7 linked regions of the Mus musculus genome follow. The protein of the gene in region 1 interacts with the protein of each later gene in a pairwise test. Links are inferred from orthologs where the notes say so. Each region holds a gene or a part of one and is shown on either strand. Other genes may lie near its edges.

Region 1 (4,580 bases):
ACTCTGAGACATAAAGTAACTCACCTGAGGGTCCTCAGCAGCAGCAGGGCCTGCCCGAGTCCAGGATAGCACTCTCCATGTCAAGTCTCTGATACCAGCTCACTCTTCTCCCATTGATGTAACTGGCTGGGAAAGGAACACACTCATCTCCTGCAGCTCAGCTCTCCTGCAGCTCAGCTCTGCATCTCCACAGCACTCACTCAAGCCAGTCTACTGTCAGTTTAGATTTCAGGGCAGAGTTTATTAACAACCTTAAATTTCCCTTCACCTCCATTCTACTATCTACCCCTCTACCTCTACCAAGTGTGGGTGAAGAAAGCAGTACGGTCCCATTGTAGCTCCTCTGCAGACTTCACCACGTGTGGTTTCAACCCTGAGTTCCTCTAAGCAGGGCGATCTGCTCAGAGAGCAAATGCCACCCTGAGAGCTTTGTAGGTCACCTGCCATCTCCTGAGTTCGTGGGTCATATCTGTCATTGTGATCATAAGCAAGTTATCAGTGGTAGTGAAAGGCGGACAAGGTGAAGGCTGCTGAGGGAATACACTCTACTATGGACTTTCAGAATAGAATATGAAATGCTCAGTTTGCTAAAGTGCTCAAGTACTATTTTTACCCCTAAAGATAGGGTCTCACCATGTGTAGCCCTGGCTGGCCTTGAACTTAGAAGAGATCCACCTGCCTCTGCCTCCTCTGTGTTGTAATTAAATGTGTGCACCACACTTGTTGCATGTTCAAATACATTTTTCTTAAATGTATGAATGCTCTGTCTGCATGTATGCCTGCATGCCAGAAGAGGGCATCAGATCCATTTTAGATGGTTGTGAGCCACCATGTGGTTGCTGGGAATTGAACTCAGGACTTCTAGAAGAGCAGAGTGCTTTTAATAACTGAGCCATCTCTCCAGCCCCACTCAAGTATTTTTAAAAGGATATTTGGGAAAGGTGTATACTGGTGAGAACCTAAAAAGCATCTGGAAAATGACAGAAAGTACAGAAACAGAATACTGCTAACAGGGAGGGAGAAGCCGCTCAGACCTTAGTCTGGCAATTACTTGAGCTCTGAATCAAATGCATTCCTAGTTGGAGACCAGCTCCCTCTCCCCCCCATGAAGATGAAGTTAAGAGTTACTGGGTGACTATGCCCCAACTCCTCTCTCATTAATCTGAGCTCAGCAGTTCCTTCACTGGCTATCAATACAAAAAGGGCCATTTAGGTTAAGTGACCAGAAGCATGATTTTCTAAAGTCTGTCTAAACCTGGACTACCAGGGTGAGACCCATACCCAAGAGTAAGGGGTTCATGACAATATATATAATCTCTTGGAATGATTATACAATCCAGGACTGAGGTGGTGAAGGTAAGAGTCCAGCAGCAGCAGGGGCTATCTTGTCCTAGAAATCACTAGAGAGCACCAGTAGTCATTTGTAAGTCCAGTGGTAAGTGGGCCAGCCCTGGCCCTTGCATAAGTCCCGGTGGCGAAGGAAGAAGGCCTGGACACGGAATCGACGGCCACAATGGGGACACGCATGCAGAGCTCTCGCATGGGTCTTCATGTGCTCTGTTAGATGATGCTTCAACTTGAAACGTTTATTACAGATGCCACATCCAAAAGGGCGAAGGCTGAACGTCAACATGATGTGTCGGTCTCGTTTCGGCTTTACTGCAAACCGTTTTCCACACAAGCAAGCAAAGCACTTCCCATCTGCAGGGGGTGTCCCTCCTAGCTTCACAGGCCCATGCATAGCCTGCCCTGTTCCTCCAGGTCCTCCATCCCCTGACAGGATTTCATTCCCATGAAGATCCACTGGTTTCCACGATGGATCTCCTGCCCCAGACGATTCCCCTCCTCCTGAGGACAGCAAGTATCTCAGCTCCTCCTTCTCCTCAGAGTCCTCTCCAGATAGTACTTTGGTCTTTTCCTTTGTGCCTCTTGCTATCTCCTCCTTACACTCAACGTTTTCCTGATTCACATATAAGATTTGGGAAGCTTGTACAGGAGGGGCAGGAGGATCTACTGTTGAGCTCTCATCCTCTGAAGGCTTGCTGGGAAGAGCAGGTGTAGGCAATGGGTGGGATCCACAAGCTTGGGAAACCCCTCCCGACACTCTCTCCGGCTGAGGAGTCTGAAAGAGTGGAGCTGCTGACCCCTGCTCCTCTTCCTCCTCTACTTTCACCTGAATCTGTAACATTCCTTCTAGTTCACTCCCCTCCCCTCCAGCGGGGCTCTCAGGGAGAACAGAATTCTCTGTAGAAGCAGAGGAGCGTACTGGGTTCTGGAAAGGGGAAGAGCGAATGCACCAGCCTCCTGAAGATGTTGTGGAAATAAGTGTGAGGCTGGAGGCTCTTCCACCGGCTGAAATCCCACCAGACGTTTCTAGTTCTCGAAGAATCTCTGAGCACCGATCTACCACTTGCCACATCTGAAGGCCGCTGGCTACAAGGAGATGGGCAGGGAGGGCATCCAGCGGCAGGTGGAGGCTTCCTGAATAAATGAGCTGAAGCAGTCCCTCGAACGCATCGGCCTCGATGACATTCGGTAAAGTCAGTCGGGGCGCATCCCCCAAAAGCAGCTTGTCATGGAAGTAAGGAGAGGCAGCAGCCAACACTGCTTTGTGAGCCCTAAGTTCCCTGCCCTGAACCAGGAGGGACACATCACAGAACTTTCCCTCCAGCCTGTGGCGGTTCAGGGATTCCAGCAGCGAAGAGCTATGATGAGGGAACTCAATGTGGATTGTCTGTGGGGCTGGGTTGCATCTCGGAGATGAGGATGCGGGAGGCAAAGGAGTCGAAGCATCCATGGCTACCTCGGGAAGAGAAATAAATCCCGGGGAGTCGGGCAGTGCAGGGTTCTATACGGGGTGAAGGCTGCGGAGGAAAGAGACTGGGGTCACACAAGTTCGGGGTATGAGACCTGTCTCAAGCCGCTCGCCACCGACCCTTGAAAACTCTTCGGTGACAAGCTTCTGTATATTAGTTCCGCCCACCAGGAAACCCAACAAAACACCAGGGTTTACACCTCCAGGCCCAGCGGAAGCTAAGGAGGGAAGGGATGGCGCCCCACCTCGCCGGCTCCGGTCGCCCTCCGCCACCGCTCGCCCCTCCTCACCGTGCTCGCTCCGGCCGGCTCAGTGAGCTCCGGCCCCGCGACGTCCCACCGACACGCCCCCACCGCACGCGCGACCGCGTCGGAGCACCTCAACCGCCAGTGCGCCTGGCCGGCCGGAAGCTACCGCAGTTCCGCCGGACGCCAATGCGGCCAGGCACGGAGGGCGGGACCAGTTCTGCAGCCAATGGGAGAGCGGCAGCCTACAAGCCGTCTCCTCATTGGCTGTGCGGACGGAGGGCCGGGGCTTGGGGAGGGCGGCGGAAGTGGAAGGCGGTTCCCTCAGTTCTGGAGTAGCAGTGAGGGGAGCCACGGGCTCCGCAGTAAGGCTTGCTTCCCTCGTCCCGCCGCGCGAGGTAGGTGCTGCTGCCCTCCGCGTGCACGCGGGACAACCGGGTCTGAAGTCTGGAGCGCACGCTTGCTGAGGACCTGGGTCCTTTCCTCCATTTCGCAGAGGAGCGTCCTCACAATTAAGCCCTAAGTCAAGAGGGTCTTGCACAGACCCTGCACTTGGAGTCTTTGGGGCGCTAAAGCGAGTCCAGTGCTGCGGCGGAGAGAGAGCGGGAGTGTGAGTTTCACCAGGAAGACCCTGCGGTATATATTGTTCTCCTGACTGGGTGGTATAGTGTGTAATGTAAGAGGACTGTTCTTTCCAAAAGTAGTCCCTGTCACCCTTCAGGTCGTTCTGGAGACCCCGGGCTAAAAAGTCGGCCCAACGCCGGGGGAGGCAGCACTTAGTCCCAGCACTTTGGAGGCAGGGGCAGGCAGATCTCTTGAGTTCAATCAAGGCCACCCTGGTCTACAGAGTTCCAGGCCAGCCAGAGCCACACAAGGAGACTCTCTGTCTTGAAAATCCAAAAATAAATAAAAGTCAGCCCAGTGATAAAAGAACAATCTCCGTTTATTAAACATGATTTTTCTGTTTCACCACACACTCCAGAAAAGAAAAGAAAAAAAAAAAAAGGAAATGGGCCTGGGAGTGGGAGAAAAGGGGGGGCAGTGGTGGGGGACCAAGAGTCTGGGAGCAGGGGCAGGAAGGAGAACGAGTAAACAAACAGCAAAAAAAAAAAAAAAAAAAAAGAGTAAGAAGATCTTCTCCCTACTCTTAAGGTGGTGGGTGGGGAGGGAAGTGAGGGGTGGGGCTAGGGAGCCAGGAAGCTCTGTACAGAGGGGTCGCCTCCCAGCCCCCCTCCCCAATTATGTACAGTACAAACCCCAGATAATTACAACAGCCAAAGAGGAGGGAGGAGGTTCAAGGGTAAGGCCTGATGGGGAAAGCAGAGGAAAGGGCATGGGATAAAATTTCACATATTTACAACTTTTATATAAGTATAAATTTGGCCCCGGCTGGGTGGGTGTATGTAGAGGGTTAGACCGAAGGAGAGCTGTCCATACAAAAGAAAGATCGAGTCTGGAGTCTGGGAAGAATTCTCAATACCAAACGCAAGGAGTGAAGAGACAAGGCTGGGTAGGGGGCA
Region 2 (3,994 bases), on another chromosome or scaffold:
GAGGACCCAGATTCATTTCCTAGCACTCATGTGGCAGCTCACTACCATCTGTGAGTGACAGTTCCAGGGGATCCAATACCTTCTTCAGACTATGCACACTGTACACATGTGATGCAGATATACATTCAGCCAAACACTAATACAGATAAAATATTTAAAATCTAAAAAAACAGTTTATGAAAACTGCTGGCCTCCATTAGCAGCTTGAGGTGGCAAAGGAGGCCACGCTGACAAGTACCACCTCTCATGTAATAACAGCGCCAGCTCTTTGCACAACTGAAAACTTTTTATACTGAGGGATGTCAGGAAACACAAGGCCTCACATGTATATACTTGTAGAGCCAAATCTAATTTTCTTATTTTGTTTAGATAGGGCCTCACACTATAGCCCAGGCTGAACTAGATCTAGAGTTTCTACCCCTCCTCTCAGCTGGAAAGATTATGTCTCTTCTTTATTTACCTTGAACGTAAGAAAACTAGATTTATAGTTTTCTTTCAAATATGTTTATATACTTATAATCCCAGTATTCAGGAGCTAGGGGACATGGATCACCCAGATGGAGTTACATAGTGAGACCTTGCATAGAAAACAAACAAAAACAACAACAACCAAACAAAAAGCCCAGAGGCTGGAAATCCAGATAGCTTAGGGGTTGAAAGGACTTGCTGCTCTTCCCAGAGGACCTGAGTTCGGTTCCCAGCACTCACACTGGGTGGCTCACAACTGCCTATAACTATAACATCTGGGGATCTAATATCCTCTTTTGGCTTCTGGGTGGTGGTGGTAGTGGTGGTGGTGGGAGGGCACATGCGCACATGCACACAAATAAATAAAAAGAAACAACCATTAAACTTTGAAAGATGTCTTATTATTTTAAAGATTTATCTTATCTTTAATTATGTGTATCTATCTGTGTCTATGTGCACATGCCCACAAGGCCAAAAGATATCAGATTCCTGGGAGCTGGCACTGCAGGAAGTCATGAGCTACCTGGGAATCTGCAAGAGCAGCATTCTAGTGCCAGGAATGTGGATTATGGCTCAAGGAAGCTGAGGCAAAAGAATCACAAGTTCTGAGCCAGGCTGAGATCTAGCAAGCCCCTGTTGCAAAACAAACACGATCACAATCTGGGCTGGTCCTTGGCTCTGTGCTGAGTGGATCCTTTCTTGAATTCAAGATGAGAACATGAGCTGCAATGGCTTTAGAGGTCCTCTCTGGGCCTCTACTCCATGTCAGGAAATATTACTTGTGGCTTACAGTGCAAGTTTTGGAAAGACATCTGTTGGGAGGCAGAGGCAGGCGGATTTCTGAGTTCGAGGCCAGCCTGGTCTACAGAGTGAGTTCCAGGACAGCCAGGGCTACACAGAGAAACCCTGTCTCGGAAAAACAAACAACAACAAAAAAAAGCCATCTGAGGGGGCTGAGGAGATGACTCAATGGTCAGGAGCATTTGCTATGCTTCCAGACGGCTGGAGTTTGATTCCCAGCACCCACAGCAGAAGGCTCATAACCACCTTAACTCCAGCTCTAGGGAACCCAATATCCTCTTCTGGTCTCTGAGATACCCACAAGCACGTATGCATATATACCCAAACATGTAAACAAAAGTGAAAAATAAACCTTTAGGCCAGATAATAGTGGCGGAAGCAGGAAGACCTTGGTGAGTTCAAGGCCAGCCTAGTCTATAATAGTGACTTCTAGGCCAGCATAATGAGAGTGTTTCTAAAAAGGTAAGGAAGGGGAGGGTGTAGTGGGAGGGAAAAGAAGAAAAGAAACTTTGAAAAACAAAACACTGGAACTACAGCTTTGGATTTGAAGAGCCTCACGTTATCATTATTCTCCGGAAGGGATTTAGTATCACAGGCCCTTCCTTCCTTCTTTCTATTTTTCCTTTAAGGTTTTTCAACAAGACAGGGTTTCTTGAGTAGCTCTAGTTGTATACCTGGAAGCCTTGAACTCAAGAGATCCAACTGCTTCCACTACAGACCATTTCCTAATGCCATGAATTATGACAGCAGACTTCAGGCTCTATTTTGAATACTGAGAGTGCTGATGGCAAACCTCTTAATGTTATAAGGGGGGGGGGGGGATGTAACTTAACAGAACCCTGAAATGCCTTTCCCAGCTCCTTCTCTGATCCTAATGTTTAACCAATTGTTCCTAACATAAAGGCTGCAATGCAACTGTACTTGGAAACTGGTCTAACATTCTCACATAGTAGACAACCAAAACTGATGGCTTGTGTGTTAGCTCACATCTATAATCCCAGCACTTAAGACAGAACTGTGGCAAGATCCAGACCAGCCTCGTATTACACAGCAAAAACTGTCAGAAAACCAATTCTGCACAGAGACTAAACATGTCTATCGCATATAGGGGTGCAGGAAAACCTTTGGTCAACAAGACAATACTGGTGTTAATTGCACTCAGGGTCTCCACATTTACAAATGTAGTAAAGAGACAGGAGGGAAGGTAAGGGTGGGCTGGGGTGAGGAGCCTGAACAACTGTATTGATGGCAGCCACAAAAATAATTTTATCAGAATCCAATTTTATGAGGACAGATAATATAAACAATGAAACTGTCTCTCTTATGACTCTCTGTATATAAAGATTCAATAAATATCTGCTACAATAAAAATAAAAATCCTCAAACCAAACCCCTTTTAATTTTTGTATATGCCTTTCTGATCAGAGCTACCATTCCCACACATAAATTACCTGCACATACCTATGGATGTCTAACAACTGACCTAAGGACTGAACAAACATGACCTTGGGGAAACAGCTCAGCCAAGTAAAGAAACTAGAGTGTTTAGTAGGTTACTAGGAAAGGAGCTACACAGCAACAGAAATGCTGGTAGGAGCACCAGACCAAGGGATGTTTCAGCAAACAACTAAGTACTCACAGAGGCAAAGGTGCCAATCTGCTTGATGTTCTGCTCATAGCTCTGCGAGCTGGTGGGACGGCCAGGGGTTCTCCTCGAGTACCAAAAGGTGTAGTTGTACTGCAGGGGATGCTCTGCTGGTCCAGGGACAACAGCCTGGGAAGTGCAGAAGGAACATTAGCTCACAGTCACAGCAAACTTGTACTTCATTGTCACAATGCTGAGAGGCCATTTTATTGGATTGTTTATATTATGTTCACATTTATATACTTTATTTGTGTATGTATACATGCACACATGCATTCGTGCACATGGGTGCTTGCAGAGGCCAGAGGAGGGTTTGTGAGCTATCTGGCATGGGTGCAGAGGATCAAACTCTGGTCCTCTGGAAGAATAGCAATGCTCTTAACTACTAAGTCACTTCTTCAGCACCTTGATTTTTAAAATTATGCTTATTACTATCATGCATGTGTATGACAGACAGAATGTGAGAGCATGTATGCTATGGTGTGTAGCTCAAAGGAGAACATTCAGAGAGCTGGCTCTTCCCTTTTCACTGTGGGATCTGAGGATTGAACTTAATCATCAGGCCTGTGCCTGATGAGCCATTTCTCTGATTCCTAATAAACATTTTACAGTGCCACTCCTACCAGATGTGGTGGCACAATCTTTATCCTAGTACTGGGAGGCTGAGACAGAAAACTGTCAGAGATCATCTTCATTATCAGACTGAGTTCCCGGCTAGTCAGGGCTACACAACCAGACTGTGGATTTTTGTTTTTGTTTTTTTTTAAAGTGTATTTCTTTATCACCTTCACAACTGAAAATAATACCATAATTTCAATTATTTGCAACCTTCTGAAGTCTGCTCACACAGTATACTCTTTGCTAGTTAGCTGATTCTAAGTTGCTGTAACACAACTTTCTGCCTTTCTCATAACACGATGGGTATTCATTATCTCAACATATGCCCACTCCAGTACCACCTCCCCAACATCCACTACTAAAGACTGGCATACTAAGGATTTCACTGTGACATTTCCACACATCTCTACCAGGCTTTGACCACACCCAGTGACCCATGTCCTCCTCCTTTTTACCCTCTTG
Region 3 (3,994 bases), on another chromosome or scaffold:
TATCCACTGCCCACCACATGGAATCAGACAGTCAGGGTAAGAACTAAACAACCATGTACCCCAGGGGCACACACACTGACAGTCTGAGTGTAAGACACAACCCTGCACACATCTGGCCCAACCGCTCAGGTACTTCTGTTTGATATTCCAAAGCACTGGGCCTCTCTTCTCCCTCTTTACCTAGGCATGGAAGGAGGAGGGTTGATAGTAGATGAAGGCAGGCATCTTGAAGTCAGCACAATGATAAAGCTGACACAAGAGACTAAGTGAGGAACAGCCTGAGGAAAGGCAGCCAGAGCCAGCCACTGCAGCAGCACAGGGCTGGCATTCCTGCAGACTCCTGGCATCACGGACTCTCTCAGCCTGGTATCTAAGACACTAACATAGAGGCAGAAAGCAGAAAGAACGTTGTATGTAAAAGCCCCAGAATGTAAGCCTAGCAAGGAATTGAGGCAGCCCTGCTGTCCCTGCATGCCAGGAACATGAATTTCCCTGCTCGACCAGAGCACAGGCCATCAGCACCTGTGGTGTGAGGGACCGTGGGGTTGAACATGAGTTCGTCAGGGTTTCCAGCGCTCCCTGTGGTTTCCCCTCTGTCCCACACACAGACACCTGTACGGTCCAGCGGTTCTTAAGTTCTCACGTAGTACTTAGAGCTCTCACATTTAAAAAACAATGAATCCTCAGGAAATATTCACTTGGGCTGGTGAGATGGCTCAGTGGGTAAGAGCACCCGACTGCTCTTCCGAAGGTCCAGAGTTCAAATCCCAGCAACCACATGGTGGCTCACAACCATCCCAAACAAAATCTGACTCCCTCTTCTGGAGTGTCTGAAGACAGCTACAGTGTACTTACATATATTAATAAATAAATCTTTAAAAAAAAAAAAAGAAATTATTCACTTAAGGAACAAAATCCAAACCCCAATTGTTCCTAATCTGTGTAGAAGTTTTATCATCTACTATGCCACTGAGAAATCATTTAGACAAAAATACTAACTATAAATCTGGAGGTGAAAGGAGTTAAAATTAACTAATTACTGAAGTCAATCTTTTTTTTTTTATCTGAGACAGGGTTTCTCTGTGTAGCCCTGGCTGTCCTGGAACTCACTCTGTAGACCAGGCTGGCCTCGAACTCAGAAATCCACCTGCCTCTGCCTCCCAAGTGCTGGGATTAAAGTCGTGCGCCGCCATGCCCAGCTCTGAATTCAATCTTTAACCTTGGAGAATTATAAATACAAAGTATGAAAGACTCGACTAAAATAAGTAACTAGATAATCCACACATCAAAGGAACTGCCCAGCCTAAATCATAAAAGTGCCACTCAATAAAATGGCTAACATGAGGATTTAACACTAAATGCTCTGATATACAGATATACAAAAACAAAGTCAAATTATCAGATCCCTAGTTATTTCCAGTATAAAGAAGACAATTTTAAATTTCTGGAGAGATAAATGATTCTTATCATATATAGATCTGAGTTAATAAAGATGTGAATAATATATTCTGACACCCTTATTGATCTGAAAATTACCAAGCTCCCCTCTAGCACAGCACATTCCTGCCTTTCCTCGGCCCCTCTCTCTGCATTTGCTAGTTGTTTGGCTTGCTCATTCAGACATGTTTCCCCCTCCCCCTCCCCCGCCCACCTCCTCTCTTTTGGCAGGACCTGGATTGAACCTAGGGTGCTCTACACAGCACCAGCCTTCTCTGTCTCTTCTGATAAACTATCTAGCTATTCTCTGTGTGTGTGTGTGTGTGTGTGTTGCACACAAGTGTGTGTGTTAGTGGTGTGAGGCCATGCATGCACACACAGAAGCCAGAGGACATCGGGAGACTGTATCCTTCTTGCCTTGAGACAGGGTCACTCATTGAGTCGGAAGCTCACAGCTGTGCTAGGTTGGCTGGGTAGCAAGCTCTCAGCACCCACCTATCTCAGCCCACCCAACACTGAGGTTATGGCCATAAGCAGCCACATCCTTCTTTCTGTGTAACTGGTGGGATTCAAACTACAGCTCCAGGATGACGGCTGGGAACCACAAAGCCTGACATTTTTAAAGTTGGCTCTGAGATTATGCTGAGGTCCTGCTTTTGCCACACTTTTCATAAAACTGAGCCACCTCCCCAGCCAGAATCAGTGTTTTTAATCCCCACTCACCTTTCGAGTGGTAAGGTAATTTTTATTACTATATTTTTAAAAATTGTTTATTGATCTGATTTGTGTTGTGCAAGCCTGGAACTGGCTGAATCGCTGGGTTAGAGACATGATGAGATCTACAAAGGGTAGCAATTTCTACCCTGGGTTCTAGATCACGGAGTATGAGATTAATGTTTGGATTCATAACCCTATTTTTTAAATGACTTTACGATTCTGGGACTTTTACCTGTTATAGACTCTTATTTTTAAAATTCAAATTTCTTTAAGTAATTTTCTATCGAATGGGTAAAAATATCCAACTTGCAACATAAATATATTATGGCTCTGGGGAAAGCCTAATGCGTGGCCTGGCTTTGTCCCACCCATACTTTCTCACTAACTCACTGAATCTCTGCTACTGTAACATGCAACTATTACCATTTTACTAGCTTATAAATTCAACATAAAGAGAAAAAGACAGGGCTGGAGAGATGGCTCAGTGGTTAAGAGCACTTACAGCTCCTCCAGATGTCCTGAGTTCAATTCCCAGCAACCACATGGTGGCTCACAACCATGGGATCTGATGCCCTCTTCTGGTGTGTCTGAAGACAGCTACAGTGTACTCATATACATAAAATAAATAAATCTTTTAAAAAATAATAAAATAAAAGAGAAAAAAACACAAAGCAGGGAGCATTCCCATGCAAATCCAGTGGTAACACAACACCAGAGAGAAGAAACAGGAACTCTTGGTTCCTGGAGCAGAACCACTTCTCAGCATCCCATCCCTTAGGATTGGTTTGCTTTGGTTTTTTACAGTAGAGGAACTCATCTCCATTTTAATTATGATACGCTAAGGTAGTTTCCCGCTCATGTTGTGAGGTCTACCGAAAAAGTCTGAAATAGATTCTTAGAAGTTTATGAAGAAAAAACTTCAACTCAAAGGCATTTGGTGTTACAGAGTAGAGAAAGATAGGTTAAGCGTTTCTTATTCCTTGGGAACAGGCCTATCATTTCACCAGACAGTATGACTCAGGTGGGTGAGTCTCCTCCACTGCATCTACAGTGGAGCTCCAGCTGACGCACACCAGAGGACAGTGAGTGGCTGGCTGTCCAGGATGCAGGAAGGGCTTACACTGAGCAATTCACCTCAAGTGCGGCTCTAGGCTGACAAGAGTTAGCAAGGCAGGGTGAGAAACGGGAGATGAAGAAAAGGGCAGGATTGAAAGGAAGTGAGCAGGTACGAGCCTGTCGTAGGCGGCGACCATGAAATTGAGTAGGAGACTGATGGACTGCTCCACGCTGATCTGGTGAGTAGAAGGAAGGCGCTTGTTCAACTGATAGTAGATGGACGAGATGACGGTCTCCAGGCGGGACACGCTGATCTCCGTGCTGTGGTCCAGCGTGTTAAGGCCATTGTCTCGGAAAGCTTCGATCATATTCCAGATATCAACAAGATGAACTAAATCAAAGAATATAAACTGTCAGAAATTTTAAAGGACAGTGTCACCTCACAACTGGACATTTAAACTGATTGACTCATTCCACCTGTATTAAGTAATTGATGCTTTGAATCTTTGTAAATAGCGACCCCTGTGACCTCTATCAGCTGAGAGTACAATAGAAAAAGTATACCAAGAATTACTCTTAAGAACGTCCCCTTTCAAAACAAATTATTGTTACATTTACTTATTTGAAGCATGGGATGTTGTTACGTATATGCCGGATGTATATATGTAATGGCACACGTATGAAAGTCAAAGTACAACATTTAAGAGTTGCTTCTTGGACTGGTGAGATGGCTCAGTGGGTAAGAGCACCCGACTGCTCTTCCGAAGGTCCAAAGTTCAGATCC
Region 4 (3,994 bases), on another chromosome or scaffold:
CTGACTTCTCCTACGTGGTTCTCACTGTACTTGGTGGAATGCCAACCTAATCAATGTAGGTTCTCCTGTTCAGCCCACTAGCGTTGTGTCTGGGGACTGTCTCTCCTTGATCAGTACAGTTCCTGGTTTGCAGCCCAAAATCCAACCATTTCTCACACTTCTATACAGATACATAGGGTTATACACCTCTAAAAGGATATAAAGAGACCACTCACCCTTTACTGAATCCTCAGAATTACTATGGTAAGCATAATTACCTCCATTTATCAGAGATGAAACTGGAGTCCTCGCACAGTTCCCTGCGGTTTCTCTAACAGTAAGAATCAGAGCTACCGCTTAATTCAAAGAAGGCCACATCTGTAGGGATGTTCAACCACAATAGTTCAGCCTGGGCCTGGTGGTTCATACCTCTTAATCCCAGCACTCAGGAGTCAGAGACAAGTGGATCTCTGAGTTTGAGACCAGCCTGGTCTATGTGTGGAGTTCCTGGGCAGCCAGAGCTACATAGTGAGACCCAGTCTCAAAACCAAATCACCAAGTACAGTAGCCAGGTTGGCCTTAGGCATTTCACTTACCAGTTCGTATCTCCAGGAATGGCAACCTTCCCCACTAGACAGAGCAATGCCCCAGTGGGTCCTCGCACTGTTATTTGATTTGTTTTATTTCCTTTTGATCCAGGAAGACATATTTCAACAGATGAAGCACTCAAGCTTGGAATTCTGGATGTAGTTGTAAAGTCAGACCCAGTTGAAGAAGCCATCAAATTTGCTCAGACGGTTATAGGTAAACAATAATAGAAAATAGTGCAAGATTAGGAATAAGCTAAACATGCATTCTAATAAGGAACTCCTTAAGCAACTGATGGGGCATTCACTTAATAGAATGTAGCCAAGCTTTAAACTGCATTGATCTGGCATAAACTCCATGGTATATTGTATCAGCTAACGAAAACAATGTTATTTTAAGTGGTGTTTTGCGGATGGTGTAAGGAAACAAGGGGGTGGGGGTGGAAGAGAAGGTAAATATGTTGAGAGTGGGTATGCATAACTTCTGTGTATGTCGGAAGCGTTCACAGGCAGGGGAATGACTCTTTCTGGAGTGGAACTGGACATTTGCTGAAGTTCAAAGGCAATGCTCTATACTTTACTCTGCCGTGCTTTGGGGGATTTTATACCCTATGAGTGGTTTTTTTCCTGCTTGAAAATTAGAATTAAAGTTGAAACAGAGGAACAAGTATGTAGCTGGTCAGGCTCTGCAGGGCTCTCAGAGACAGCACAGCCTCTGTCTTGGGCAAGTGACTTCTGGCCCTGCTGGCTTGTAGACCAGCGGTATTCCTTCAAGTGTGCCTTTAGCACCACCTACTGATAGATGGCTTATTGGGTTTTGTTTTAGTTTAGTTTAGTTTTTTTTTTGTTTGTTTGTTTGTTTGTTTTGTTTTTGTTTTTTACTTCAAGCTGCGCCTTTAAAGCTAGAAAAAATTGAAACCGTTGCTGAGGACGTAACCAGGAGCTGAGTGTAAAGCCAGAGTTTAGTTTTCACTAGCCTTCTTTCAAGAAAAATCACAACAGAAGCCAAATGACTTGACAACCTCTGTGGGAAAGTTTATGGCGGCTGCAGCCTCTGAGCAGGGAGACGCCACCCCATAATCAGCTTCCAAACGCTAACACCATTGCATACACTAGCAAGATTTTGCTGAAAGGACCCAGATATAGCTGTCTCTTGTGAGACTATGCCGGGGCCTAGCAAACACAGAAGTGGATGCTCACAGTCAGCTATTGGATGGATCACAGGGCCCCCAATGGAGGAGCTAGAGAAAGTACCCAAGGAGCTAAAGGGATCTGCAACTCTATAGGTGGAACAACATTATGAACTAACCAGTACCCTGGAGCTCTTGATTCTAGCTGCATATGTTTCAAAAGATGGCCTAGTCGGCCATCACTGGAAAGAGAGGCCCACTGGACATACAAACTTTGTATGCCCCAATACAGGGTAACGCCAGGGCCAAAACAATGGGAATGGGTGGGTAGGGAAGTGGGGGAGGGTAGGGTATGGGGGACTTTTGGGATAGCATTGGAAATGTAATTGAGGAAAATACGTAATAAAAAATATTAAAAATTAAAAAAAAGAAAAGAAAAGAAAATACTCATGAAGATTGTCGGACTCCACTTAGTGACACGGAAGGCTCGGGCCACTCCAAGGCATGCCCCTGGCAGGGACCAGTTTTTGAAATTGTTTTTTATGGTCCAACTAGTTGTAGGTTTGGTGTGACAGTGGCACTCACACTACAAAGAGGAGGTATCGATGGGAAAATGCTGCTGCCTTCTAACTAGGAGTCAGCAAGTCCTGCCCGCAATGGAAGCACCCTCCCTGCAGCGCCATGCCTCCCTGTGGCGCTCTGCCTCCCAGGCTACTATCACTGGTCTGTGTCTCTGTGCCCCAGGGAGGGCTGCTTGGCTTGTGGGCACCGACTTGTATAATTTGCTTGCAGAGAGCGCCCCAGGCCACTATTGATTTCCATTTGTAGCAGCCTGGGTTCCCATAGGAAGTTCTGTCCTTCCCTGGTTTCCCTGAATTCAGCTTCGAGGGTTGAGTGCTTCAGACAGGATTAGAACCAAGGTCTATCACACTTACACTATGGTCCAGGGTGTTTATTGGTTTGGTTTTTAAAGTTAATTCTAAACATTAAACCCCAAAGTCTATAAAACAAAATGATGCTGGTCTCAGCAACATTACAGTTTGTCCACTTGATGGCACCCCAACGTTGAGCCATCGTCTGCCTTAAAACTCAAGTTGCCTAAGGTTCTGGCTAGGGGCAATTCTTTGTGATGGTTTGAAAACTTTGTTGAGAAGAGTGGATGGAGGTATGTAACTTGCTTGTGGTGAACAAGTGTTTCTGTGGTGAGGCTCTGCCTGAGTGGTAAGTGGTGTGTGGGGGTGTGTTGGTGTGTATGTGTGAGAGAGAGACAGACAGACAGACAAGAGGAGCCAAGGATGTTTTTCCTTTTCCTTTTTTTCCTAGTGCTTTCCTTGGTCTTGCTTTTCATTTTACTGCTTGCTCCTTGTAATCTACCTTTTGTCTGTCTGTGAATATTTCCAAGGTATGGAGTGGCCTGACCCACACAGGAGGCCTCCTGTTGAGGTGCCTCGGGCCGTGAGTGGCCTTCCTAGAGTTGACGATAGGCAATTGTTCTCTCCGTCATTTGTGGAGTCTAACATGGGTGCAGCACATTGGGTCAGAGGAAGAGGAAAGGAGTCTTGAGTCTTTTGTCTCTAAGGAAACAATTTATGTGAGGTACACATTGAGTCTCTTTAGGCAGACTGCTAATCTCTTCCTGCACAGTTGGCAGAAGGGTGTGTGGGAGAGGACTACATTTGTGTCTGTCTGAAGTATGACCCCCTTGTTTTGTAAAAATTTGTGAGCAGAACCAAGGGTAGAAGTGGTCACAAGCCTGGCTGAGTCTGCTTTGGTCCAGCCTTCCGGTTTTTTGTTTTGTTTTGTTTTGTTTTGTCTTTTATGCTATGATGGCTCATTCTTGAGATGGTAGATCTTCTTAGAACCCATTATGTGGTGCTGAGTTTTGGTAACTGTAATTGGGTGTGTGTGTGTGTGTGTGTGTGTGTGTGTGTGTGTGTGTGTGTGTGTGTGTATGTGTGTGCGTGCTTGCGCATGCATGAGTGCATGTTTATCTGATTTTAAAATCATCTCATTGAATTAAGAAGATTATAGAACCATATGGTTCTGGTGCCTAGCTCAAGTTCCTTTGTTGGCCCTCCCCCTAGAAAAATGTATAGTATTAAGAGTTCAGTGAAATTATGGCTGGTTTTGAGGTGGGTGCTTGGCAGGGAACAGAGTTCATTTACTTATTTAGTACCTGTGTATCAGTTCTCCCACCTGTGTATCAGTTCTCCCACCTGTGTATCCAGTTCTCCCACCTGTGTATCAGTTCTCCCACCTGTGTATCAGTTCTCCCACCTGTGTATCCAGTTCTCCCAC
Region 5 (4,668 bases), on another chromosome or scaffold:
TCATATACGAAAATTATTGGTAGAGGAGGGGAGGATTGTGGGGGAAAGAGAAAAATGTATCCAAGTGGCACATGATTCCCACCACTTGAGAGGCAGAAGCAGGAGGACATAGTAAGTTCCAGAACAGTCTAGGCTACTAAGCAAGACCTGGTCTCAAAAAGAGAGACTGAGTGAGAAAGAGAGATCAAGAGCACATTGGGATGCAAATTCAAAAGCTATTCATCTTAAGTAAACGCCCCCAGTTAGTCATCGACTATGAAATTATTTCTCATGATACTCCATAAGCAGATACTTTAACAACACCATCTCGCAGAAGATGGAAACTGAGCCCAAGAGCGTCTTCAAGGTCACAGGACTAGTAGAAGGGGTTTTAAAGCAGGTCATGTGCCTCCAGAATCCAAGCTTTAAATTGCCTTATGCTGTGCTGTCATACAAACTTTGAGCTGGAAGGTGGTGGCACATATCTTAAGCCCCAGCAGTTAGAAGATAGAGGCAGGCAAATCTCTGTGAGTTCCAGGACAGCCAGGGCTACATACAGAGAAACCCTGTATCAAAAGAAAAAAGAAAGGAAGCAAAGAAGGAAGGAAAGAGAAAGGAAGGAAGGAAAAAAGAAAAGAACTCTGGAAAAATACAGAGACATGAATACTATATAGATTGACACGAGTGGTCACATGCTATCCTGCTGAACAGCATTAATGCCTTGTTTGTCTTTTAGGTGCATAGATTATGTTCTCCAGGATATATAACTTTAAAAAATCACATTCTACATCTTGGTCTATAATCTTCCTTAAGGCTATTTCTGTACACACAGCTTATAATCGTTATTTTAAAATTAATTTAGGCTGCTTCCAATGTTTCTCCATGACAGACTTCTGCCTGTCACAGGCAATGGGATGATAGGCTTTAAAAAAAAAATTCCATCTTTTGTACCCCATCAACTACTGCTGCAAAAATATAAACAAACAAGTAAGTAAGAAAAGCCATTAGGGAGTGCAGGTCTGTGTCAGTCGGAGAGAGGACGGAAGAAGGCCATTATCTAAACTCCCTCTGCTGTCCCTTTGTCTAGAATCCCCAAAGCAAAAGCCCACGCCAAAGAACTGCAGTGGCCTGAGGCTCGCACTGCGCATGCACAAAAAAGTGGGCGGGGCGAGAGAGAGCAAAGAACAAGTGCAAATGAGGGCAAGTAAAAGCTTTGAAGAACAGAATAGAGGCTGCGCTTTCTCGTCTCTGGGCAACCTTTGTTCCCGCCTCCCCGTAAGGCTTCGGCTTCTCATTGGTCTAACATCTCTAGCTCCTATAGGTCAAAGAACCAAAGGACTGGGTCTGTTCCAAGCTATGCCTGATTCTGGAACCGCAGCAGAAATAGTTGATTGTGACGCTGCTTTCAGGCATTGCGGAGGACATACCTGTGGGGCCTGAGGGGTCCTTTTGCTAGCACCGGAACAGTTGCCGGAGAGTTCATCCGCCAGCTTAAGAGATGCCGCCGAAGGGGAAAAGTGGTTCTGGAAAAGGAGGGAAAGGTAGACCTGCCGAGACAGTCATGGAGCGAGCGTAGGGGTGGATGGGGAGAAGGACAGGAGTAGACCTGCAGCTGTGTGGGGTGGGGGAGGGAGGTGATCATAAGCCGGACAGCAGGGCCACCGGGAGCACCCTGAGCCGCTGTGGTTTATGTTTGGGCTTCTTGTGGTAAGGAAAGATCAGTGCGTGAGGAGCTGCTGTGGTTCAGGGTATCCATGAGGTTTCAGTGCAGGGACCCTCGTGGCGGGCAATAGAAGCTGCTGGGGATGGTTCCTCGTGACCTGGGGTTTATTCCCACTAAAATTGAATCTGATGAAACGCCAGCAATAAAAGGAAGCCTACACTAGTGATCAATCTAGTCCATCTAGGCCTCTTAACAACTAACAGGACGTACCTCCCCCCCCCTCCCCTCCCCTACACACACACATGAGGAGGGACTCGCTTCTTGAAGACCGTTGTTGGGGACAACATTGTGCTTTCAGGCTAGAAAACTAAGACAACTCTTATTCATCGCTGGACAATGTGGGGAAGATAGTAGCCTCTAAGTACTGTGCCGAATGTAGTTGTGAGAGTTATGTTATAGAAGGTGGAAAGAGGGTAAAGAAACAAACTGGAGATACTTTGGGCAGGCTGAGATAAGCAGCAGCAATAGGGTAAAGAGTCCTCAACCCGGAGAGGCCAGCCCCAAAGGCAGTTTAGTATAGCATCGCTGAAGTAAAACTTCAAAACAAATAAGCAAGTTGGGGAAATTAAAACAGAAGAAAACTAAATCATGAGGTGTGCTGTATATGGTGTTAATTAAGGTTGGTTAGGGGCCAGGAGGTCCTTTAAAGAGATGATTTCAAGCCGGGCAGCGGTAGCGCACACCTTTAATCCTAGCACTTGGGGAGGCAGAGGCAGGTGGATTTCTGAGTTCGAGGCCAGCCTGGTCTACAGAGTGAGTTCCAGGACAGCCAGGGCTACACAGAGAAACCCTGTCTTAAAAACAAACAAACAAACAGAGAGGGGAGAGTAGTGAGGGAGAGAGAGAGAGAGAGAGAGAGAGATGATTTCAGTAGTTCTGGTAAGAGAGAGAGTTGGCCTGAACTAAGATTGTGGTTGTAGGAACCCAGAGAAGAGACAAATAAATGGAGTGTAGTAGAGTGATACCCCAGAGGTCCAAGGAACCAAGATGTTGTAAAGAAAGGTCTGAGAAATGGGTGAGGCACTGCAGAGACATGCCACAGCAGTGGGAGGCTGAGGAGGACCTGAGTGTGAGGTCACCAGGGGTACACTGTCCTTTAGCTGCTCAGCTCCTGTTCATCCATCAGGTGGTACCTGGCTAGCTGACATATGTGTTCCCTTCCACAATTTCTCGCTTGTCGGACTCTCAGAATGTGGTCTCTCTTCCTCACTGGGATACGAGCTCCTTGGCTGCGGCTTTGAATCCTATTCACTGTGTACCCCCAAGAACTTGAACTGGGGAATTATTTAGGAAACAGTTGTTAAACTAAATACTTAATTTAATCTTAGACACCTTGGCCTCTAACACTTAATATGCTGCCTTCGACACAAAACTTAAAAGAAGTAAGATGTGCTACCAATGCTTGATAGCCTGAATGTAGCAGATTCCAGGAGGATATCAGTAGCTGTTGTGGTAGACTGAAGGGGAAAAGAATGCACACACACACACACACACACCAAGCACTCTGAAATAAAACCAAACCCCTCAAAATGCATTGTTGGAGATTTTGCATGTTAGAATTTCAGGTGTCAAACACACTGTCACAGAATATAATAGAAATTGTATTATTTTATATAATGGCAGTGTTAAGTTAGAAGGCAAGATTTGGAATGGAGTCTAAAGAATCTGGCCCAGGCTTCTGGAGTGCCTGCATCCATGCCCACACTCATTTCTTTATCTGTTTTCTGTGAAGTATTTTGTTCGGCACATTTCCTGTTATTAGAGATGAGTCACAGAGTAAGTTAACTTGATTGCATGACTCACCATGTAGCCTTTTGGAACTTGGGGCTGTAATGGATGGGTTACCTTGTGTTATGAGTTGGACCTATCTATAAATGTCAAAGTACAGTCGAAATGAGTTCCTATCCTCTCTTTTCTAAAGGAGGTGCAGCCTCTGGGAGTGACAGTGCTGACAAGAAGTCTCAGGGTCCTAAAGGTGGTGGCAATGCAGTAAAGGTGAGTTATCTTATGTGTCTCCTCTTTTCCATGTAAAGTATTAGTAAGTGGGTATGCATAGAAAAGACAGTGTGAGTAACCTGTCCTTATCTATGAGGCTTAATACTAAGTTAAATTCAAGATGATACAAAACTGGAAACCAAAAACCAGTCTCACTTTTAAAAGGTAGAATTTTCACACTTCTAGCACTGTTCCTTTAAATGTGTTAACTTAGCGACTGGGGTTTCAGCCTCGGTCATTAAAGTGCTTGAGAAAAGACCTAAGCCTAGTTGGTGAGTTTCAATCCAGTGAAAGACCCTATCTCAAAACGAAAAAGGGGGTAGATGGCACCCTAGAAAGGATTATCTTCTGACCTCCAGATGCACATGCACACACATTTGTTACTTTGACCATGGGTGGGAGATAGTCCCTGTCTTGGTTAGGGTTTTACTGTTGTGAACAGATACCATGACCAAGGCAAGTCTTATAAAGGACAACATTTAATTGGGGCTGGCTTGCAGATTCAGAGGTTCAGTCTGTTATCAAGGAGGGAGCATGGTAGCAATCCAGGCAGGCATGATGCAGGCAGAGCTAAGAGTTCTACATCTTCATCGAAGGCTGTTAGCAAAATACTGGCTTCCAGGCAGCTAGGGTGAGGATCTTAAGCCCACACCCACAGTATCCCACCTGCTCCAACAGGGCCACACCTCCTAATAGTGCCACTCCCTGGGCCAAGCATATACAAACCATCACAGTCCCCAGATTATTACTGGAAGCGCTTAAGCAACCAATCCCATGGGAGTGTCTGCAAACAGAACTGTACTACTATGGCTATCTAACAAGGAGTTTCCATGTTTGGGTCAGGATACAGGAGGTAAAAGAAAATAGATTTCATTGCTTCTGCCTACAAATTCAACCATACACATGCAGCATAAAAGGGGGAGAGAAAGATGGAGAGAAAATGTGAACTGAGCTGTTCTACTCAGTAGACC
Region 6 (4,435 bases), on another chromosome or scaffold:
CTTTTGTGGTCTTGGGATGAAACTCCAGGACCCCAGTATGCTGGCAAGGTAGATAGAAACATTATCAGCCCTTAGTCCTTAAAACATACTAAACGCTGTTGTGTGGAATACTACATGGTGTGTCTTGGAGAATGTTCTTGTGAACTTCAGAAAAATCTATATTCTGTGCTAAGTGTGGTGGTGTGTGATTAGTCCTAGAATTTAGGAGAGTGTGGTAAGAGTCCAATACCAGACATGGCTACACAGTGGAAACTGAAGTTCCTAGAGAAAAGAACAGGTACATCTGTATGGACCGTTCTATAGGACCAAATGACGGAGCTTTGTGGTTGGGGTGAGTAAAAATGTTACAGAGGAGAGACAAATGACCTTGAGCTACTTTTAATCCCATTGAAAACAATTCCTTGTCTTCCCTTGAATCTGAACGAGAAATCTCGTGGTTATCACAACTTTTCAAATACATACTTAACAGCGAGCATCTATGAATCCAAAAGCTAAGAATGTCATCAGACAGTATCTGAAACCTAAGCAGAAATTTCCTCATCCCACTACCTGTAGTCTCTATCAATAGATTTAGTAAATGCTTTGACTTAGGACTTTCTTTGTTCTGTAACTACTAAAATGTCATTTGACCACTTCCACAAAAGAAAATATCTTTCTGGACAACCTGAATCCTGGACATGGTCACTCATATTTGACTCAAGAATGAATTGTTGGAGCTGGAGAGATGGATCAGCGGTTAAGAGCACTGACTGCTCTTCCTAGAGGTCCTGAGCTGAGTTCAAGTCCCAGAAACCACATGGTGGCTCAAAACCATCTGCAATTGGATCCGATGCCCTCTTCTGAGGTGTCTCTGAAGACAGTGACAGTGTACTCACATATATAAAATAATTATTTTTAAAAAATTAAAATTACATTTATTTATTGTGTGTGGGAGTGCCTGCGCCTGTGAATGCCGTGTAACACATGTGGAGGTGAGAGGAAATTGCAGAAATCGGTTCTCTAGTTCCATCCTGTAGGGCTCAGGGACTGAACTCAGTTCTTCAGGCTTGGAGGCAATTGCCTTTATCTGCTGAGCCTCGCAAATGTAGGTTTTCTCGCCCTCGCTATTCTTTTCTCCTTTCCTCTTTATTTCAGCTATGCTTCCTAAGTACTCTGCTCCAGGTTCTCCTTTAATTATTAGGATTTACTGTGGTAAGTGGTAGCATCTACCACTGATGGCGTTTCCCACTGTTCTGGTCTTGCTGCCAGCCAGATTGGCAGAAAACTAAACCACGTTCTGAGAATCGGCTTTTGGCTCCTTTTGCCTGGTGAGGTCGCCCTAGCGATTGGGCTGCCTGGGAGCCACGTGATCTAAACGGATGATGGCGGGCGCCGCTGAAGATGTGCGTGTGCTCTTCGGAGCTGCAGTCCGAGCTGCGCTGGAGGCTTGGCCTGCTTTACAGGTAAGTGAGGTCCTGGCGGGGGGTCACGATTAAGGCTGTGACAAAATAGAAGTTGACCAGGCGAGGCGCCAGAGCCATGGCTGGGCGGTGTAAGCGGCAGACTCCCAGGCCCCGGCAGGCCACGCCGTTCTGGTTTCCATGCTGTCATGGTTGGCTTGGGCCTGTGTTCACAGATCGCTGTGGAGAATGGCTTCGGGGGCGTGCACAGCCAGGAGAAGGCCGAGTGGCTAGGGGGTGCAGTGGAGGATTACTTCATCGCCAATGGTGAGTGAATGTGAGGTGTTGCTGTCTGTCGCAGTGTGGCGTGGCAGAGCCTCGACGTAGAGAGCCCGCGTTTGATGAATGAATCGTGACTTTGAGATCAGAATTGTGTCTTTAGAGTGCCTTAGAGGCAATGACACTCAAATGCTATTATGCTGGAGAACGCATTTTGCCTTCCAGAGAGTCATTTTCCTACTTTCTAAAATGGTTATGGAAAGATCCGACGAAAAGAACTATTCGAGTCATATCTTGTAACTTAAAATTGCTGGATGAGGGGTGGGGGACAGCTCCGTGGACAAAGGCCAACAAGCATAACAGTCCGAATTTCATAGCTGGGACAACATGGAAGGAGAGAACTGGTACACGCTTAAGGTGTCCTCTGATTCTCCCTACACAAGTAAATATAATTTTAAAATTGTTGGGTGAGGAGTGTAGCCCAGTGGTAGAGCACTTTCCTAGTCTGCTCGTGTCCCTGGGCTCCAACCCTGGTGCCACCAAAACTAAAAGCAGTACCTCTGATAAATAAAAGGCAGCCAGGCCCTGTGGTGCAGGCATGTACTCTCATATTCCTGATGCAAAAGGACCTCAAGTTCAGATTCACCACAACCTTGTCTCATAATAAAAATAATATAAAGACTTGGAGATATAGCTCAATGGAAGTGCTTGCTTACTACACACATGTGAGGCTCTACACTACTCATACTACCACAAATGAATAAATGAATGAAAGAAGCAAATATTATAGTGTTATTAAATTCATATCCAAGGTCTAGCATATGGGCCATGTTTGTGATTCTAGCACCAGGGAGACGGAGACAGGGGAATTGCTCTAAGTTTCAAGCTCCATATCCCCAAGTTGTCCTTATGATAAAAGAAGGGGCTGGAGAAATGTTCAGCTGTTAAAAGTGCGTCCTGCTCTTCCTAACCTGAGTTGGGTTCTCAGCTCACAACCACCTGTAACTCCAGCGCCAGAGGATCCAAAATGTTCCTCATCTGTACACATGTGCATGCACATACATGTAATTAACAAATAAGTAACACAGGGCTGAAAGGATGGCTCAGCAGTTAAGAGCATTTGTTCTTGCATTGGACCTCGGTTCCGTTCCCAGCACCTACATGGTATCTCATAGTTATCTATGACTCCAGTTCCAGGGGTTCTGATATCATCTTTCTGTCCTTATCTGGGCACCAGGTACACACAGTGCACACACAGGCAATCAAAACAACATGCACATGAAATAAATACAACAAAAATCCTCTTCCAAAATATTTTAGTATGTCATAAGAATTAAGCATTTTTCACTTTTAGTATTAAATTTCACAATCTGGAGTTTATTTATTTATTTAGGTTTTTCAAGACAGAGTTTCTCTGTGTAGCCCTGGCTGCCCTGGAACTCACTCTGTAGACCAGGCTGGCCTTGAACTCAGAAATCCACCTGCCTCTGCCTCCAGAGTGCTGGGATTAAAGGCGTGCGCCACCACGCCCGGCACAATCTGGAATTTTAAAAGTCTTAGTACGTCTCATTTGTGACCAGCCACATTCTAAGTGCTTGTGCTCGATAAGCACATGCTGCTGCTTCTACACAAAAGTTCTACACTTCCATTTTGTCTTGGTGGGGTATAAAAGAACAAGAGGACTTAGAGTATTGCATGCTGTTTTTTTTTAACTCTTCATTAACATCCTAGGTTTTTTTAAAGATTATTTTATTTATATGAGTACACTGTAGCTGTCTTCAGACACACCAGAAGAGGACATCAGATCCCTTTACAGATGGTTGTGAGCCGCCATGGGGTTGCTGGGATTTGAACTCAGGACCTTTGGAAGAGCAGTTGGTGCTCTTAACCACTGAGCCATCTCTCCAGCCCCCAATATCCTAGTTTTGAGGATGGTATTAGGCAGATTCACAGCTCAACATTTACAATCTAGTGAGTGATTTCAGGTAAGTAAATGAATAGTTAAAATACTGGGTGGTGTGTGTTATGCTAAAGAGGAGCTCAGAATTCTTCAGTTAACTGAGCCTGAGGAGAAGCCTTTTTGATTTGATTTTTGTTTTTTGGGTTTTTTTTTTTTTTTTTTTTTTTTGAGACAGGGTTTCGCTATGTAGCACTGACTATTCTAGAACTCTTCTGTTGACCAGGCTGGCCTCAGACTCCGAGATCTACCTGTCTCTTGTCTCCCAAGTGCTGGGATTAAAGGTGTGCGCGCCACCACTGGTCAGTAAGAGGCCTTCTTAAGAGTAGCGATTAGAGTGAGGCCTAAGGAATGAAAAGGGGGAAACTAGGTAGAGATGATAAAGCATGTACTCAAAGGAGTTAAGTGCATTATATTAAGGGGATGGAAGAGTGGTAGAGAATGGTGTGTGTGTGTGTGTGTGTGTGTGTGTGTGTGTGTGTACAGAGACACTGACTAAAGGGTAAGAGATAAAAGGCCTTCTGTGACTTTGCTTATAGAGATAGAAAGCCAGTGTCTGTAAAATTCAAGCTATAAAAGACTTGTCTCGTTAGATATTCAATGAAGAAAATGTTTCTCCAGTCAAATTATAGAAGCTTTTTTCTTCCAGCTGCTATTTTATTCCTAGTAGTAGTAGTAGTAATTGGAGACAGTATCTCCTTCTATAGCTCAGGCTGCCATGGAATTTATGTTCCTCATGCCTCATTTTCCTGAGTGCAGGGTTATATAGGTGTGTGCCATCAGTCCTGACTCTGTTTTCCATTAGCTTTTTATGGAGATC
Region 7 (3,994 bases), on another chromosome or scaffold:
TCGGCTCTCCAAATCCCCAGAGTAGGATGAACGATGAGCTGAGCCTTTCCTTAGACCTGACTTCTGTTCGTGTTGGAGAAGCCCTTTCTGTAGTGTGTTTTTCATAGAGTTCTCAGGAGAGCGGGGCAGCAGTGCACGGAGGGGCTCTCCTCCGAGCTCGGACCTCTCTTCTGAGGTTCTTTGCTGCAGAACTGCTTCTCAGAGGCCGGCTTGGCGGGCTCCGGAGAGCTATTCTGGCTCGTCAGAGGCTCACTGATGGACTCACGGCTCCCTTGGGCAGCGGCTTTGTCCTTTGACCCACACAGCCTTAGCTCAGCTATTTGCTTTGAAATTCCCCCACACTCTTGGTGGGTCAGGCCATCTCCTGGCTGGGATGCAGGCTGCTAACACTCAGATTTGGCAAGGGCTTTTTTTTTATAGTTGTAGACAGGAAGAGTGTAGGGCTAGGAGCCCAGCATCCCTATGTCTCCGGACATGTGCTGCTAAGCCATGTGACCTTAGGCAGTAGAAATGACATTTTTAAAAAAAAGTGACTCCCCCACCCCCCAACTATTTATTTATTTATTTATTTATTTATTTATTTATTTATGGTTTTTTGAGACAGGGTTTTTCTGTGTAGCCCTGGCTATCCTGGAACTCACTCTGTAGATCAGGCTGGCCTTGAACTCAGAAATCCGCCTGCCTCTGCCTCCCAAGTGCTGGGATTAAAGGAGTGCGCCACCATTGCCCAGCTTATTTATTTTCTTATGTGTTTATTTTATGTATGTGAGTACACTGTAGCTGTTCTCAGACACATCAAAAGAGGGCATCAGATCTCATTACAGGTGGTTGTGAGTCACAGTGTGGTTGCTGGGAATTGAACTCAGGACCTCTGGAAGAGCAGTCAGTGCTCTTAACCAAGTTGACCCATCTCTCCAGCCCAGAAATGACCTTTTTACTCAAAACTTTATTTTGGCTCCCTCAGAGACTCTAAGAGGGCTTCAGACCTTCTAGAGCTGGAGTTACAGATGACTGTGAGTTGCCTCATGGCGCTAGGGATTGGACCTGCGTTACGTGTCACAGAGAGGTGGGCAGTCTGGTGTCTGTTTTGAATGTCCAGTTTGTTCATATGCCCCACTTTAAGAAGAAGGAAAGAAACGTGAACGAAACTAACAATCTAGCTCCAAGCCAATGCCGCAGCTATCTAGAGACAGTTCACTCCCAGACAGTGAGTGGGTAGAGTTGGCACGAGCAGATTGTAAGTCCTATGCAAACCCAGTTGGTGCACAGCAAGCCATCACGTCCATGTTCACTACCACTGCTCGCACCACCATGCCCAGCTAATGCTCTCTTTGGGTGTATTTGGATGTCAGGATTTTGAGCCGAAGTGACTCCATCTTTGTTTCCTTTCTTTTGTGTTCTACGTAATTATTGCAGGTCCTCTGGAAGAGCAGCTAGTATTTGTAACCATTGAGCCATCTTTCCCCTCATAAGATACTGCTTCTTTATAGGCATTCAACGTGTGGCCTCCCTTTAGAGCCCTCTGGATATGACTTAATGGGGCTATTATTGCTCTGACACCTTCTGTCTTAGGCTTCTGCATTGTGTGTACGTGTGGGTGTATGGGGGGCTTGTTTCTGACCAGGGGCCTCAGGCCGGGCAAGCTCATCTTCATGTCCACCTGAACCCAAGCTCTCCTTTTCCTCTTGGCCTCCAGGTGCGCTACAAGGAGGAATTTGAGAAGAATAAGGGCAAAGGTTTCAGCGTGGTGGCAGACACGCCTGAGCTGCAGAGAATCAAGAAGACCCAGGACCAGATCAGCAATGTGAGACCCTGCCCTGATGCCCAGGCTACCCTCTGCCCTCCCTTCTCATCCTCTCCCTGACAACCTCAGCAAAGGCCCACGCCGCAGTGGTCAGATCAGAGGCAAGGGGGAGGGAGTTGAGGTACCCGGGAGCCTTTTCTTTGTTCTCCCTCTTTGGTGGGCACTCTGCCCAAATGGCATTTCCTCCTTAAAGAGACTGCTCTTTTAGAGGCAGACAGATAGACACACAAACACATACAGAGTGTCTAAGTCACCTTCCATTCTCTGGAGCAGACCCCGTTCCCTGGTCATGGTGGGGATGGGGTCGGAGTGCAGATTAGATGCTTGTTTTTAGCACCAGGGTCAAAGCTGGGGTTGGGGGTTGAGCCTCCTGTCTGCCTCTGGGTGCTAACACAGCAGTCATTTCCGCCCTCCCTCGACTGCCTCCCACCTCAGTTTGTTCTTCCTTCCTGTGTGAAAACCCAGCTGGCTTTGCCCACAGGCCCTACACCCCCTCCAGGCCCTTTCAGGCCCAGTCAGGGACTGGTCATTGGTGTCTGGTTGTGAGACATAGGCGTGGAGAGTGGGTGGCGGAGTGACTGTCTCTATATGGTTCTGTAGAGCAGCTGGGGTTAGGGATCATCGCTCAGTTCCACCCTTACATAGCCGCAGACCAGCAGCTTGTATGGCTCCGGGTTTGCAGGGGCCGGGTTGGGAGTATGTGGGTAGGTGCTGCTGGGCGTGACGTCACAGAACATGGGCACAAGCCTGAATGCCGAGTTATAGAACATGCCCCGTCATTGGCAACAGACTCCTTATAAATGAAGGATGAAGCAGGCCGATACGATACCCTCGTGTCTATCACAGGAAAGGGTCTACCAGTTTGCCTGTGTCATTCTGGGCTGAGGGACTAAGGATGGGGAAGACAGGATCCAGATTCAGGTGGCTCGCCTTGCACACACCCTCCAGGATCATCTCTCCCCATTCTGTCGCTGGACAAGTCTCATAGCTCACTGGTCTGCGCCGCCCCCCCCCCCCCCAAACACCCGGCACAGAAGCACCCTCTTGCAGGGTGGTTAACGCTCTGATTCTGCCCTCTGTCTTGTTTAGTGGCACACACCTGTAACTCCCAACATTTGGGAGGCTGAGGCAGGAGAGTCATGGATTCAAAGCCACTTGAGGCTGAGGCACGATCAAGAGGTTGAAGCCGTCCTGGGCTTTATAATAAAACACACGCATGCGCACACACACCCTCTTTCCCATGCACACGAAACAAAGAAAACTTCTTAAAGGAGGGAGGGCTGAAGTTTAGTGATAGAGCGTGCACAGGGCCCAGAGTCCCCTCCCTCGCACTACAAAGAGGAAGCATAAGTGACTGCTTTTTGGGGGGGTGGGGGTGGAGGGGGGACTTGGAAAGTTCATTCAGTATTTTCTCTTGTTTCATTAAAAATGCTGGGGGCAGTCCAACCAAGTGGGCTTTGCAACCCAGTTGTTGGGCTGAAGTTTAAAATGAACAGCCTGTTGAATGACTTCTCCTGAGCTGGAGGGCCTGCCTCAGAAGGCTGCAAACCCTTCTTGGCCCCCCAGGAAAGCCTGCTGCAGTTTGCCCTCTTCCAGTCTGGGCCTGGCTCACACCCTGGCGTTTCCTTTCTGCCTCAGATCACACAAAGGGTAAAAGGGTGTGCCCGGAGCGCCTCAGATCGAAAGAGGGGAAGTGGTGTGGTCTTGGGTGATTGGGAAACTGGGATGGCTCACAAAGGTGGAATCATGTGGCTTTGTGTCTTGAGACGCTTCCGGTCAACCTTTGGGACATTTCATTCATTGATTTACCGGGTTAGTTTGGAAGAGAGAAGTAGCCCTAGCCATCTCTGCCTTACTTTCTTGGAAGGTTTCCCGAGTGTCCTAACACCCAGTCTCTTTCACCTACCTTCCTGCACCCTGTTACTCGACGTTGGGCACATTAAATGCCTGAGGAGTTCTGGTAACAAAAGCCTACAGTAGCCACCGTATCTACACTACCGATAGCATCTTATCAGCCTCTTCGGAGAGGCAATTAGCTGATTGCCTTGGTTCGAGGCTGGGGGAGGTGCTTTGGATCTGCCTGAGCTGGCAGGTGTAAAAGCCGGAAGTCTTTCTCCTGGTTTTAGGGAGTGTGACCAGGGTCTGTCTCTGTCAAGAGTCCCGCACAGTCAGCTGGGCTGCAGAGCTCCA

Evidence for each region.
Region 2: the proteins of Zbtb9 (region 1) and Eif4e2 interact in binary tests that used the Homo sapiens proteins (3 or more experiments, as listed by UniProt). The two-hybrid records come from large-scale screens. The link is inferred for Mus musculus from reciprocal best matches to the Homo sapiens genes ZBTB9 and EIF4E2.
Region 3: the proteins of Zbtb9 (region 1) and Dtnb interact in binary tests that used the Homo sapiens proteins (3 or more experiments, as listed by UniProt). The two-hybrid records come from large-scale screens. The link is inferred for Mus musculus from reciprocal best matches to the Homo sapiens genes ZBTB9 and DTNB.
Region 4: the proteins of Zbtb9 (region 1) and Ehhadh interact in binary tests that used the Homo sapiens proteins (3 or more experiments, as listed by UniProt). The two-hybrid records come from large-scale screens. The link is inferred for Mus musculus from reciprocal best matches to the Homo sapiens genes ZBTB9 and EHHADH.
Region 5: the proteins of Zbtb9 (region 1) and Pin4 interact in binary tests that used the Homo sapiens proteins (3 or more experiments, as listed by UniProt). The two-hybrid records come from large-scale screens. The link is inferred for Mus musculus from reciprocal best matches to the Homo sapiens genes ZBTB9 and PIN4.
Region 6: the proteins of Zbtb9 (region 1) and Tsr2 interact in binary tests that used the Homo sapiens proteins (3 or more experiments, as listed by UniProt). The two-hybrid records come from large-scale screens. The link is inferred for Mus musculus from reciprocal best matches to the Homo sapiens genes ZBTB9 and TSR2.
Region 7: the proteins of Zbtb9 (region 1) and Lasp1 interact in binary tests that used the Homo sapiens proteins (3 or more experiments, as listed by UniProt). The two-hybrid records come from large-scale screens. The link is inferred for Mus musculus from reciprocal best matches to the Homo sapiens genes ZBTB9 and LASP1.

Annotation. Positions count from the first base shown.
Region 1 is NC_000083.6:26,971,840-26,976,419, reverse strand, and holds Zbtb9 (zinc finger and BTB domain-containing protein 9), read right to left. Parts: upstream 3,242-4,580; 5' UTR 3,106-3,241; intron 2,865-3,105; 5' UTR 2,798-2,864; coding exon 1,418-2,797; 3' UTR 217-1,417; downstream 1-216. UniProt on the Homo sapiens protein: May be involved in transcriptional regulation.
Region 2 is NC_000067.6:87,219,969-87,223,962, reverse strand, and holds part of Eif4e2 (eukaryotic translation initiation factor 4E type 2), read right to left. Parts: intron 3,044-3,994; coding exon 2,909-3,043; intron 1-2,908. UniProt on the Homo sapiens protein: Recognizes and binds the 7-methylguanosine-containing mRNA cap during an early step in the initiation. Acts as a repressor of translation initiation.
Region 3 is NC_000078.6:3,596,256-3,600,249, reverse strand, and holds part of Dtnb (dystrobrevin beta), read right to left. Parts: intron 3,602-3,994; coding exon 3,388-3,601; intron 1-3,387.
Region 4 is NC_000082.6:21,767,205-21,771,198, reverse strand, and holds part of Ehhadh (peroxisomal bifunctional enzyme), read left to right. Parts: intron 1-678; coding exon 679-783; intron 784-3,994. UniProt on the Homo sapiens protein: Peroxisomal trifunctional enzyme possessing 2-enoyl-CoA hydratase, 3-hydroxyacyl-CoA dehydrogenase, and delta 3, delta 2-enoyl-CoA isomerase activities. Catalyzes two of the four reactions of the long chain fatty acids peroxisomal beta-oxidation pathway.
Region 5 is NC_000086.7:102,118,045-102,122,712, forward strand, and holds the start of Pin4 (peptidyl-prolyl cis-trans isomerase NIMA-interacting 4), read left to right. Parts: upstream 1-1,424; 5' UTR 1,425-1,477; coding exon 1,478-1,520; exon of another isoform or gene 1,521-1,686; intron 1,687-3,623; coding exon 3,624-3,697; intron 3,698-4,668.
Region 6 is NC_000086.7:151,093,436-151,097,870, reverse strand, and holds the start of Tsr2 (pre-rRNA-processing protein TSR2 homolog), read left to right. Parts: upstream 1-1,327; 5' UTR 1,328-1,358; coding exon 1,359-1,442; intron 1,443-1,615; coding exon 1,616-1,706; intron 1,707-4,435. UniProt on the Homo sapiens protein: May be involved in 20S pre-rRNA processing.
Region 7 is NC_000077.6:97,823,146-97,827,139, forward strand, and holds part of Lasp1 (LIM and SH3 domain protein 1), read left to right. Parts: intron 1-1,696; coding exon 1,697-1,804; intron 1,805-3,994. UniProt on the Homo sapiens protein: Plays an important role in the regulation of dynamic actin-based, cytoskeletal activities.